Linked DNA regions of Rhinolophus ferrumequinum. The protein of the gene in region 2 interacts with the protein of the main gene of each other region in a pairwise test. Links are inferred from orthologs where the notes say so. Each region holds a gene or a part of one and is shown on either strand. Other genes may lie near its edges.

Evidence for each region. The genes of interacting proteins can lie anywhere in the genome.
Region 1: the proteins of NFYC (region 2) and DR1 interact in binary tests that used the Homo sapiens proteins (3 or more experiments, as listed by UniProt). The link is inferred for Rhinolophus ferrumequinum from reciprocal best matches to the Homo sapiens genes NFYC and DR1.

What each region holds. Positions count from the first base shown.
Region 1 is NC_046292.1:70,528,099-70,535,072, reverse strand, and holds the start of DR1 (protein Dr1), read right to left. Parts: upstream 3,036-6,974; 5' UTR 2,313-3,035; coding exon 2,093-2,312; intron 1-2,092. UniProt on the Homo sapiens protein: The association of the DR1/DRAP1 heterodimer with TBP results in a functional repression of both activated and basal transcription of class II genes.
Region 2 is NC_046292.1:28,481,775-28,489,264, reverse strand, and holds the start of NFYC (nuclear transcription factor Y subunit gamma), read right to left. Parts: upstream 3,043-7,490; 5' UTR 2,973-3,042; coding exon 2,900-2,972; intron 1-2,899. UniProt on the Homo sapiens protein: Component of the sequence-specific heterotrimeric transcription factor (NF-Y) which specifically recognizes a 5'-CCAAT-3' box motif found in the promoters of its target genes.

The DNA of each region.
Region 1 (6,974 bases), about 42 Mb from region 2:
AACCACTCAAGACAAAAAAAAATCTTTAAAATAATTAAGCAATATGAGAGTAATATGAGATTATGTGTATGCATAAAATCTATTCCCCTAACGGGAAAATTTGGGGCAAAAATGGTAGGTCTTCATCCACTTAATATCAATACTACAAGAAAAAAAGGTAAATTTATTAGACTATAACAGGTCAATACATGATTTTTTAAAATTAATAAATCATACTTAGTACACAAAGGAAAATGCTTTCACTGGAACTTTCCTAGTTGTTAAACTGAATTTAGCATATTCCAAAGTTGAGGCATTTAGCATACTGCTTGCTACAGCTGCACTTTTATTCCATCATGTCAATCAGAAATCTAAATATATCCTAGAAAAGAATAAACTCTACCCAAGAAGACAGATTGTATGTGTTATTAGATTTTTGGAATGATACCCACTTCTGTGGTGTAAACAAATGTTTAGGCAGATCCTTTAGAAATCTTTTGCAATTTGCAGTAAAAGGCAATGTTGATAAAAGATCCTTTTTCTTTTTTATGAGTTGTAAAAGGAAATTATAGCTATCTGTGTTGGATAATCTTGAGAAAGACTTATGACAACAATTGAACATATAACGTGAAAATAAAAAAACACCACAGGAAAAATAGACAACTTGGCTTTCATTTTACTTGCCAGGGTATGCAGCATACCAAACAAGTAGAAAAAAATGGTAGCTTTAAAATTAAACATGCTTTTTCCTAGGGGCTTATTTTTTTCCTTATGTACTGAAATGGAAATGGCAGAGTATAATTTATATCTGCCTTCCACACATCATTCAAGATCAAAAATGAATCATTTAATCCTTCCGTCAATATTGACAGTAAAATATTGGATATGGTGAATATGAGCAGATGTATTCTCTACTTCAGAATAACAGGAAAGTCAGCTTTTAAAAAGTTAAGTTATAAAAATCAAATGGTAGACAACCACCAGCCTACTCAAATGATTAAAATTAACCATGATTTTTTTCTGACTTCAAAAGCAATCAAGAAATTGATAGATTTTTAATTGGATTATTATAAAAGGCAAGTTATAACCTCAAATTGAGTGCAATTTTTTCATAATGGTGTATGTGCTTCCCGAAATATTGTGACTAGTAAATATGTCTCCCCATCCTTGAAACACACCATCAGAATACGGTCTCCCAAATCCCTATTACTGAACTAAATCCTTTCCAAAGATAGAAAAAAACTGTTGCAACTTTCAGAAGTGCTGTTCAATAAAAGCTTGAGTGTGAACATCTAAATGGGAATGGGGGCAGGAAAGAACAGGGAAATGTTCCATGAAAAACACCTCTTACAATCTCTTAAACCAGGCTTTAAAAATTTATCTCCATAGAACAAAGGGAGCTACACAGAAGAAAAAGAGAAAGAAGGATGGGAGAGAGGGGAAAAGAAAAGGACATTCACCCTTTTCTTACAGAATAGAACTGGAGTGCTTTGGTAACTTGTGGATGAACGGTTGGACCATTAAACCATTTTTAACGCAGAAAATAGACTCTACTCAACACCAACAAACTTGAAAACGTTGAACACACTCCTGTTAAAGTTTTTTTTTTACTCAGGTGGTCAGAAAACTCATCTTGTTCTCTACATTGGTGAAGAGATCGGGTGCGGAAGGGGTGCTGTCTCTGTTCATACTTGAATTTCCTGTCTGAATTTTAATTTTCCAAGGGAGTACTTTTGGATTCCTTTCTCAGATGTTCTGATCTACGTTTCAATTTCTCAGTTGTCATGTATAGGTTCCTCTTTAGGCAGGCAAAATCCTTGTTGCTTCGGCTTACCTGGCTGTAAATTGAAACGACTGCTAATACTTTACCTTTGGGGGATGTTAGCTGACCTAAATGCTCGCAATCCTTACTTGTATTGGCTGGTGAAAAGTACCACGAGCATACTACATAGGAATTTGTTGAAGGCACCCGCTGCCTCCATGCCCGCGTGGCTTTTTCATTTTCCAGTACTGATCAGAGGAGAGGAATGAAGGCTTTGACATGAATGAGTCACGCGACTAGCAGGCTGTCCCCGGACCTTCACTTAAACAAAATCCCACACGTAACACTTACCTTGTATGACATGCTCTGGCGAGATGGTCTTCTTTTCAGATTTGTTGCAAATCTCATTGGCTTCAGAAGATATAAGGTGAATGAATTCAGTACAGCAGTTCACCACCAGCTCCCGGGCATCGTTGGCCACCCGGACATTGGGGAGAGTCTCTTTGATCATCTTATTGATAGCAGCTCTGGGTATAGTGAGATCATCATCGTTGCCAGATGAGGAAGCCATCGTATCTTCCTATGTCTCTCGCCCCGACTTTTAAGAACTCCCCAGTTCTGGTCCACTACTCCACAAAGATTTTTCAAAAGGCCGCCCTCGGAGAGTGATCCCGGGGGCTCTACGAGAAGAGGGGGCAGAAAATGAAGGGGGGGCGAGGGTTGGCACCAGAGGGCAGGGAACACAGCGTGTGTCAGTCAGATTTAGGGCGAGGTTCGGAGGAAAGTCGCGGGGCTGAGAATTCTGCCCCAGGGCGGGCAGGAAAAGAAAGGTGGTCAGGAAATTTGAACACCAGGGAACACCTTCGTGTCTCCTCAGAGGGGCGGGCGCTGTCGCCCAACCGGTCCCCAAAGGTGCCGGAGCAGCGGCAAGGTTCAGGGACACTGGCCTCGCTGAGGTATACTGGGCGGACACCCAGTGGGCTTGGCTCTACAGAGCCGGAGCCCCAGCTGCCGCCGCCGCAGCCGCCAGCAGCCGTTGCCGCCGCCTCAGCCAAACCATCCTTCAGACACCCACGCCGCTGCCTCACAACATGTCGGCCGCGGCCGCTGCTGGAACTTGGGCGGCCGCCTGGGAACGAATACGGACAGGGCCAGACACAAGGGAAGCAGCACTGGCGGCCGCCGCGGTCGTTTAGCCCGAACGCTGATCGTGGAAGCCGAAGCCGCGGCAACGGTGGTCCCTCCAGAGGCCAGGGAAGAAGGTTTGTGGGAAGCTTCTCCCGACACCCTTTGCGCTACCGGAAGCTTCACCCCCCCTCCCTCCTTCCCCACCGAGTTCCGGGTGTGGCTATTGCCCTTCCCCCACCCGCGCCAGCAGGAACCTCCCGGCCCCGCGGCCCCCCGCTTCCGCCAGCCGCGGTCCTGGCACGCGCCCGGGCATCCCCCCCCTCCTTCATGGGGACCGTAGCAGGGCGAGCGCGCGCCCCACAGTACCGGAGAACCCCGAGTACGTGCTCGCTCTGGGCTGCGGCGCCAGACTCGGGATGGAGTGGGTGGGTGCGCCGGCGAGGTTGGATCGCCTCTACGGTCTCAACCAGCTGAGGCTTCGAAAGCCTTTCCCAGCTATGTTCAGGGACAAAGGAATGCTGGCTTTTATTAAAAGAACTCTCTTTGCTGTTCCTTAAAGGAGCCCGAACTGGGCTAGAAGAGGAACGAGGTCTGGGCTCGGGAATAGGATATGAGAAAATCAGAAGCCGGTGTTCCTGTGTCTGCACAGTCCGGAGGAAAACCTTTTGATACCTAATAGACGTTATTCGGATCAAAGCTCTTTTTGGTCCTCCACCCAGTTTCTCGTTTTATGAGAAACAAAACATGCTGAGAAGTGACATGACCTCCCAGTCACTACTAATGGCTAAACCGGAAACGAGAAATAAGATCCAACGTAGTGGAAATGCGTAGCATTAAGAGGTTCCAACTTAGCAATTTTTCATGGTGTATTGCACGTTGCCTTCTGAAGAAACGGGGGGGGGGGGCGGTGGGGAGACGGGGGAGGGGGGGAGTATGTTACAGTGTCTTAAGCAGCTCTGATTTTTGCTCTCCAGGGTAACTAGTAACATCAACGTGTGTCAAGTTCTTCATAAAAATTGCACTATTTTTTAAAAAGCTAAGTTTTTCATACTGTCATTTGTTAGAAGAGTCTGTGTTATAAATGGTTGTTGCAATTTCTAAAAAGTAAACGAGATACCATTTAAATCTGTTTTGGCACTTTAGTTAATCAAATACATTGTTCTTGATACATTGGACAGCAACTGGCTTGTTTGAAATGTACTCTTAAAACGTTTTATTTAAGAAAGACCCTAGATATTTTTTTTCATTTAGCATTTTCTCCAGCACACTTGCCAGTTCTTTCATTTCTGAAGTGCAGACGCTGGGTTTTCAATGCAATTAAGTTTAGCCAAACCAAAACTTCTTTGATAAAACAATGTATTTGACAATTTTCTTCAAAATAAGAATGTGAAACTGTTGGCTCAGTTGTTGGCCCTTTATGAAGTGTTTATGTAAGTCAGTTTACAAGACTGTTGGTTTCAAGAGTTACTATGCTGTCTAAATTCATCTTGGCCTCACCAAGTTTATCCGACTGAAAAAAGCTAGCAAACATGTCCCCAGTTATCACATTTGTCACTGACCCAAATCTTGTCATTCCTGAAAAAATAATTTTGCTTTTTTATGTAACGTTTATACAATGTAGAACAATAGGCTTATGATACATACGTACATCTGAAGAGCACACATGTTATTCCAGTAATAGTTTATTACTACAGGGTTCTGTGGTAGCATAAGCATGAAATGTGTAGTAGAGACCTAGGTTCCAGTCCCAGTTTTTTGTTACTTTAGACAGGTCACTCTCCAAGCCCCATTTTCTTCAACTAGAAATGGAATTATAACTCAGGATTCAAAGTCAAATGAGACCATATGTAAAAGCGCTTTTAACATTATGCAGTATTTAGATGTTGGTGTTTATTATTATCTTTATCAGGTCTGAGCGGTCTTCAACTATTAATAAACCATACATAATATGGCTGAGAGAAAATTTAACTAAATATAAATCGTGTGGCACATGAAATATGCTAATCTGGATCCCACAGTTATTTACAGTACAATAGATCCTTATTATAAATAGGCTTTTGAAAAGAAGGATAACAATGAGCTTTAAGACTTTTAGTGCATATATATGAAACATTATTTTTCTCATGGTATTCCAAAATTCATGATATGAAAAGAAACAGCTGTTTTGTATGGTGAATTAGGCTAACTCTACAGTAGTTATCTTAAAATGTGTTAATTCATAGATGCCTGGATTTTCAGCTAAAATTACAATCTATAACGTTTGTAATTTGAAGCTTTACATTTTAAAAAAGCAAATAATGCTATCCTTTGTGCTAATTTGTCATTGCTAACACACCAATGGCTAGTTGTTGGTAATACAAATTTAAAAAATATCATGTGTTACATGCTTCTTTTGTGATTGGCACTGTGCTAAGTACTTTTACCTAAGTACTTTTACCTTTATCATTTCATTTAATCCTCAGAACAACCTTATCTTATAGATACTGTTTCAGTCTCCATTTTACAGATAAAGAAAGTGAAGCTGGGAGAAGCTAAATAACTTCCCTGAAGTCAGTATAGCAATTGGGATAGGCTAAATTATGTTGCAAGAATCTCAAAAGGTTTATTTTCTTGCTCATTTTCTGGGTTCATCCTGAGTCAGCAAGAGGACTTACCACACAGTAATCACTCAAGAATCCATTGGAACTGTTAAAAGGAAGTAATGAAGGAGCCTTGAAATACAGGCTTTTGACAGGTGGAGAAAGAGGAAAAAAGTATTTGTGTTCAAAGTAATGATACGAAGTTGTGTAGACAGAAATGGTGAGAACAGTAAAGAGATCACTTTAATTGAAGTAAAGCATTTTTGTTTAGTGAGAGAGAGCCAAACACATGAGGCAGCAGAAGTCGTGAGGTAATAGAAGCTGAGAACTAGAGAGGGAGAAGAGAGAGAACTCACTTGTAAAAAGGGCAGTAGAAGCAGGGGCAGAAGTTTTAGGCTTCAAATAATTATGTCAGAAAGACCAACAAAATAAATGGATCGCTAGAATGTTGGTGTACTCTTTTGAAAGAGACAATACGCCTCCATGAAACAGTTTTCTGTGCTTCTTTCTGTGCATCTTCATAATACTCTGCTAAAAATTCCATTTTTATTCTTTACAACTTGAGAGAGCCCAACTCATTCAATATCTTTGGCTTCAGATCTGGGTTTGATTCCCATTCTGCCACTTAACTAACTTGGGCAGGGTATTTAAGCTGTATCTTGATTTTTCTCCTCTATAAAATAAGAATACATGCTTCACAGATGTTTTAAATCTCAAATGAAATAATATATGCAAAGCATTTAGGCCAGAATTTTAATGCTAAATAAATAGTGGTAGTTGCTAAAAAATAATCATTACACTGATGATTATTACTGCTAGGAATGGAATAATGGGATTGAAAAGAAAGGTGATTCCAAGAACTATTTCACAGCAAGAGTTGGAAGAACCTGATAGTTTGGCTCTTAGATAGTCAAGGAAACAGACTAATCAAATATAAGATTTTTAGCCTCAGAAACTGGAATTAGGGTAGTGTCAAAAACAGCAATATTGAACGGGAGCTTTAGAGGAGAAGTGCTTGCTTTTGGACATGTTTTGATTTGAGGCAATAGTAGGCATTTAAGGAAATGATATCTTGGAGGCAGTAGAAAGGGAAGACAGCATCTGATTCCTACATTCATTCAACACCTGAGTGTCTACTGTCCTAAGTATGGTACAGGAGAGAGAAAGATAAATATAACATCCTTCTTGTATTCAAGGACCCCACAACCTATTGGGAGAATCACAGTATAAAACAGATTGAAATAAAATACTGTGATAAACATGTAAGCTAAGAGTGTGCAGAGGAAGGAGAAATTCACAAACCACTTGTGAGGTACAGAGGGCTTTAGAGAGGACTCAACATTTTAACTGAGCCTTGTGGATTGAGTAGAATTTTGATAGAAAAGGAGAGAGTGTGCAGCTGAAGAAGAAACACAAAAGTACATCGTATAACTTGGAAAAATCAAGTAACCTAGAGAAACTTCCCATTTAACCTTGTTTCTCTAGTTCCCTGTTACAGTGCCTGGCACACAGGAGACCCATTAAGT
Region 2 (7,490 bases):
CCAAGAGGACCCTAATTTTTGACAAAGGGGTTAAAATTCTTTCATAGGAATCTTGGTAAGGGAAGTTCAATAGTCTCAATGTATGCATTACATAGAGTCATGTCAACATAAACAGGAATATGCAGGTGAAGGCACGTGGAACCAGTTTAAAAGAGAAGTACTGACAAACTCCTTTATAGGTGTATTAAAATACTGGCATTTTTTTTCCTTTGATGCCACATCTATCTTCATAAGCAATTAACCAACCCCAACAGTTTGGATTAGTAACAACTAACCTTTACGTTGCACTTCACAATTTGCAAAGCACTCTGACATACATGATCTCATCCGAGACACTACTAAATAGGAAGGTGCTATTTTTAGGTCCCATTTTTACATGTGAGGAAGCTGACACTAAATGGCTGACTTGCCCAAGCTCACAAAGCTGGTGATAGCTATGTGGGACCTGAACACAAGCCTCCTGACTTTAAATTGCCTGCTTCTGCTACTGCACCATGCTGCTTCAAATACTGTAATCAGAGCAAATAAATGCCCAAATTTCAGACCCCATCTAAGCATCCCCCTCCCACACACAGCCACCCCTAGTCTAAGTTATAGTTAGCTCTAAAAGGTCTTTGCTCCTTATGGAAGTAGAGTTTAGAGTTTTCACTTCTCTGGCAAACATTTACCTGGCTAAAGTATAAATGAAGAGATCATATAAACACCATTCTACATATACTGTAAAATATCTTAGTCACCAGGGGTACAGGCATGCCGATGTGCATTTTCCAGACAGTGGGTCAGATTCTCAGAGGACATGACCCTAAAAAGGTTAAGAACCCAGGCCAGAGACAGTGGCTAGGTATCTTTCCAAGAAGCTAAATCCACCAAGTTCTTAATATAAAGCGTTCTATCTAGGCCTCCAACTGTGCCCCACTTACCTCTGCCTCCCCTCTCCAGGCCTTCTCCGGGACCAATAGGGTCATTCAGAATCTATAACTGTTTTTAAATAATATATAAAACCTGAAGCAGCTGACAACATATAAATCAATGACTTGTAAAAATAAAGTTAAATTAAAATAATTACCTGTTTAAATGTAATCCTTAATACAAACTCCTTTCTCCTGTAACATAACTTCCCAGAATGACTGTTTTCTTACCATAAGCATTCCAATTTCCCAAAAGAAGTTTCACAAACGTAACTACTTTGAACTCCTGAAATACCATTCTTCACTAAGAACTCTCTAGATTACACAGAAGACAAGGTAGCATGCAAGGAATTCTGAATCTGTTAGGCAGTTCACTCAACTATCATACCACAAGGATTTAGAATTTTTTGCTGGGGGGGAGGGTACGGAGAAGAGTAGGAGAAAATGAATACAGCCCTATTGTCTTATTGCTTGAAAACTCCCAATTTGAATCTGTAACATAGTCCTACTAACCACTCAACTTGGACATCAGAAGTACAGTCTCTTTTCATCTTAAATAGAGCTTTTCAGTCCAAATCTGTATAAACAAACTTTGTCCTTCAATCTTTCCACTCCTCGGCAGTTTTTCAAGGTCACTTTTGCAAGCAACGACAGAGGCCTGCATCTAGCAACTTTGACTGCTCCACCATTCCAATTCTAAGAGTCCAAAATCTAAACCCCTATCGATCCTCTCAGGTAAATCCTTTACTCCAGAGGAAGCGAGGTGAAGGCAAATCAACACCCTCCAAACTTCTCCTCTAAGAGGGCCTGCTCCTGTTCCCTACCCAGAGGAACAGTGTAAGTGCTGCTGGCTCAGGGCTCCACACTGAGTCTGCAGCAGAAATGTTCCAATGACCTTCATTCCATACTTGCAAATAAAAAGAAAACAAAGAATTGCTTTTTAAAATCAAGTGTATCATAGCTCTTTAGTGCCCGGGATGGAAGATTTCACTATTCACAAGAACGGCTCGTTATTGATTAGCAACCTGCATTAGCTTCATATCCTAAAGAGGAAAAAAAATACCAAGGGCAAAAGACAGGGTAGGGTGCCTATAAACTTTCCTATTCACAAACTGCAGGTAAATTAGGATTTAAATATTTCATACAGAAAATGAAAAGCGTTTTGCTCACATTAAAGAACCAAATCAACACCTGACAAAATGTGTGAAATTGGTGGAAAAAGATGTGCTCTTGTCCCTGCCAATATAGTGAAGAAGTGTGTTTCTAAACAGCATTCTATGCTAAAATGTGCATTTTCAAACAAAGATAGTTACTTAATTAATTGGTACTTATTAGAATATAGAAGCAGACAGGTAATTGAGAAAGTTAAGGGAGAATTTCACATTGGCATGTGGGCCTTCACCATTACAACCTGCATCAGTGCAAATCATATTTTAACACAAATTTAGAACAGCGATAGTGTTGCTTCTACCTCTGAAAACACAGATGTCAACAAAGTGCATGGAAATAGAAAAAGTCTTACAACTACTCAGCTTATTCTGTAGGAAAGCTTCAGTGCACTTGAACAAAGGAAAATTATTTGGAAAACAGTTAAGTTTACCCAATGCAAAGAGAAAGTGCTTTGCTTCTGTGTGTCCCTGGAAAATGATTAGCCTTTCTTCATGTACCTGATCTTGCCGATACTCAACTAGGAAAAGAAATCCTAGTTGAAGGGCATGCAAAATCTACAGAGCAAGGTATTCTAGGTGCACCAAAAGGTATGCATGGAATGTAAAGTGGCCATTTTCTGAAACAGTGCAACTTGTCTACACTCTCTGAAGCTAAACAGTTTCTACCATTTTAACACAAAACAAAGAATTAAACTTACCGGGAACTGCATTAATTTTACATGTAGTTATTTATATCTCCTCGGACAGGGAGAATTTAAGTCACTCCTATCCCTCCCCCCCAAAAGGACGGAGGAAACAAAAGGCAGCAGGAGATGCAGAAACCTGAGTCTGGAATGTCCACTCCAGTGAAAACCCGAACAGCTGTCCCCCCACCCCCCAGCAAACTATTCGCCATTTTTCTTTGTCTTTCAGCTGACCCCTGCCTCAGTGAAAAACTCCGAGGCTCCAATGAAGCCCTGCAGCCTCCTTCCACTTTAACAGTCAAAGGCATTCAATCTAACATGCTATTTGACACCAAACCTTGCCTCCAGAATGCTCCCATTGGCTGAGCTGCTTCATCGGCTAAGAATACAAAGCCACGATTGGCTGTTCACGTCATCAGTTACCTCCTTTGTACACTTCCTGTTTTAAAGTTACCTTGAGAAGCAGAACAGGGGTCAGATTCAGACTTCAAACTACAGGGAACTTAAGGCTTGGAAATGCCTGGCAAATGCACAGAGCAGATGCGTTAGGGCCCCATGCGTTTACAAAACAGAGGATATTGCAAATCCAGAATTGTTTTTAAAATCACACGAAAGGGTTGTTACAGTTCCCACCCAAAGCATTTCTTATTGGCTGTCAGAGTTCCATTTAAAAAATTTAAGGTAATTTAACTGCTTCTGATTGGCCATCAAAGATGTCTGTAAGATATTACTACAGTATCCTATGGCAGTAAACCAGAGAAGCAATGTGCACAAGGTCGGAAAGTTGTGACTTCTATCTTCAGTTTTCTGTCGTGCATTAACAGAAGAAAACAAAGAAAATGGGGTAGGATGATCCAATGGTTCCGAAGAAAATGCAGCTTCTTTAACAGTACCAAAGAGTGGTATCAATGGCCATACAAAAGTTTGCAGGATTTCTAAAAAGGTATCTGTCATTGTGTCCATGTTAATTTTAAAAGCACGTACGTATTTATACCAGGCAAATCACTTTATTTTGAAATACAAACTGATCTAAATGGGAAAATTCTGGGGTAATGTATGAAGTTAGTGACAGAAAGAGTGGCATTCCCAAAAAGTCTACCAGGAACCCAAGAGGAAAATATAATGAAGGGGGGGAGGGTGGAAATGGCAAAGATAGAGCATCAGTGAATATAGTGTTTAAAGCACATTTTAGTTTGATGGATTAACTAATTTATTTAGGGCGGCCACAAAATGTTGCTGACTAGTTTCCGATAGAAGATCAATTTTTCTACCACATTTTCAAGAATAAGCAGCAGGGTCGATCTCAGCCTGAGATATTGTAAATACCAGTATCCCCTGCTTTTCGAAAGTTCGCTTTACGACTTTGCTTTTACAAAAGACCTACTACATTAGTACCTGTTTTCATAACCAAAAGAAATCCGAAAAGGATTTTCGCTTTTATGAAAAAATGTGAAAAGCAAAAACAGCGGTCAGCGTTTGTTTTGCAGCGAGCACCTGAGCAGCAAGAATGACACCACCAAGCTCCTTCCCCAGGAACTACACTCAGCATCTCAGCATCCACCCACCATAGCTCTGAAATGCGTCTGTGAGCAGCTGTGCTTTATCTCGATTTATTTTGTACGTCTGTTAGCAAGATGTGTCCTAAGGTGATTGCGTCTTCACTTTATGCCATTTCAGCTTACAAAGGTTTCATAATAATGAGCTACTTTTGGATAGTGGGGGAAACCTGTAGTATTGTGGTTACTGAAGACACTCCAGTGTTGGTTGAAGATCTCCTTCCGGATTTTGGGCCCAATTGTTTAGGTTCCCCACCATCACCACCACTAACTGTTTAGGTTTTAAGAGGAGCCTACTAATATGGTGAAAATCAGTCAACATGCCTTTTTTCTTTTCTTTTCCACAAAATATTCAAATAGAAATGTCTCACTATTATCTGGGGCCTTTAACAATCTCCTAGATCTGCATCCGCCCATCAAAGCTAAGGGTCCCAAGACTAAACATAACTCTTCTGCCAAGTACATGACCACTTTTCTAGAAATACCTTGGTTCATCTCACATGACGGGTCATCATGGGCATATGCAGCGATTTGGCAGAGCCCTGAAATGTAAGCAAGGCGGTCTGTCTGATCACTTTGCCGTATTAACTTCTCTACACGCACTCTACTCATTTCCCACATTGAAATGAAAATAATTTCTAAACACCAATCAGTGCTAGGTTCTGTGCTAGGTACTTTACCCCTCTAATCTTCACTATCCCCTTTTAACATGTGAGAAACAGTGAGGTTCAAAGAAGTTAAACAACCAGCCCCTAGCCATACCAGCACATCTAGGATGCAAACTCAGGTCCCATAGGGTAGAACTCTTTCCACTGCACCACAATGCTTACCAAAACATGGAGCACCTCAGGGCACACCCAAGGAAATTCTTAGGTGTCACATGTATGTACAGATAGCATAAACCATTATACCCAACTTCATTAATTTAAAAATCAGAAATGTGACTAATGTTGAATTTGATCTTTTGATTAGAGACCTAGATAAGTATCTGAAAATAACAGAGCCTGTAAGTTGACACAAATTTTATTACTCAGCTATTAGGAACATTTAACCAGTAGCAAATCACATTTCTAAGGACTTGAAATAACTAACAACTAAACCATTAAAAACAGTATACATTAAAATATTAAGGGATTGCATGGCAATTTCACTATGGCATCTAAGTAAGAGTCTAGTTAGGCTAACAGGGTGTGTCGTGGGGCAATTCCTGAAGCTGCAGAGTTGCAGGTATTGTAAGTTCTCTTCTTGAAAGTTTAGACCACAGATTCTGAGACGAGACAGCAGAAGGCCAACAGGCCAGTTGTGTGCCATATCCACACTAGAGCCTCTTTTAAACCCCAACACACTGGGGTCAAGTCAGCTGCCAGGAAGCAAAGAAGCTCATGTGAGGAGTGGGAGGCAGAGGAAGAGGAAGAACATTTTCACATCACTATTAATCAGTGTCCCAACGGCAAAACAACTAAGCACTGGGGAGTCGGGCAACGCGAGTTTCAAACTCTGACTCCTCTACTTATCAATTAATTGTATGACGCTGGACTAACCCTGAGACTCAGTTTCCTCACCTGTAATATCTGGATATCCCCATCTATATCACAGAGCCACTGTAAGAATTAAATGAGCTAATAACATATGTAAAGTATATTGTACTGAACAAGCACTGAAAAAAAGTACTAAAAAGCATCCAAGCCAAATTCCTTCCACAGGCTTAGTTCAGAGAGACCTATCTCCTTAAGGTCCTAAAGCTACTATGAGGGAATGTCTCTCTTTTATCTGCAGCATACTCTGCAACCCTGCATAAAGCAACTCCTGAGCCACAAAGGGCCATGTGGGAGGACTACCAGCTGCTACTAAAAATCCTCCCCAGTTTTTATGTCAGAAATCCATGCCTTTCACCACCAATCCTGGCTGAGGTCTGCTTATTGTTCCAAAAACCTACCCTTCTACTCTGCTTTTGATGTAGCAGATTAAACCAAACATGTCTCCTCACACTGTGAAGATCTTTGACATAGTTTTTATTAATTCTTGGCAGTTTGCACACACACACACAAAAACTACAACAAACCCACTTCAACTGCTATTTTTCATCAAAAGTCACCTTAATAGAATAGTGCGGAGAGACCTCAAATCATCCTAGGACTTCCATTGGCAGCCTGACCCATTCACGTACTAGAGCTTTTCCTTCTCTAGCCTGTCATTACTGTCAACTGAGCGCCTCATGAGATCTCTGGGATTCCAACTCACATTCTCTCCTGGTCCTGGATCTCAGCAGCCCTCTATACCAGGTCAGTGCATCGTCTTCCCCTAAAACACACCCAGATCACTATGAGACAAAACCATGGTTCAAGCTTTAATGCTCTCAAAGAATGCAAGGTGGGAACTGACGCTCTTAGTCAGAAAACTGATTATGAATCAGCTACCTATTTACTAGCCGTACGACCTTGGTCAAGTTACTTAACTGTCTCTGAGCTCACTTCTTCATGTGCAAAATGGAAAAAAAGCACCAACTCACATGAGTGTTGAGGCTTAAATGAGATAAGTTAAAGCATTCAGCATTAATACCTGGTATGTGATAGGTACTCAATTAATACCTAAATATACATTTGACTCTAGCACTTATCACATATAGTTACTTTTTACCATGTCTCTATTAACAGAGGAGGACATCTTGAAGGCAACGACTGTGTCTTGTTTATATCCACAAAAATCCCTAGTGCTCAGTACAGAGATAGAAATTAAAACCCAGCCTTAAGCAATGTCAAGAAAATAATAGGGTGTAGTGGGGAATTGAGGAAAACTGGCGAGTGCATGCATCTAAAGGGCAGCTACTGCTCAGCTCCAATGGACAAGGGCCATGGAGGAACGCTGGGCCACTCAAGGAAGAGTTTCAGGTTGAATAAAAGAAGCAAAAGCCAGATAGATCCCGGACACAAAATCTGATGCTCGAACAGCTTCTGATCTGGCAGCCTAAGGAACGACTGAGGGACCAGAGGGTGGTCTCAACCACCATGACGATTCCTGTCAAGGACAGGGTCTTGCTCAATAACCCAAGATTACCTGATCTTGGAGATTACGCTCTATCCCAGCAGAAGCAAAAATAGCAGCAAAGAAACTGGGTTCTTCAGTGATCTGAACATTTTATTGATGGTGTCCTTAACTAACCCTTTCAGACTTAGT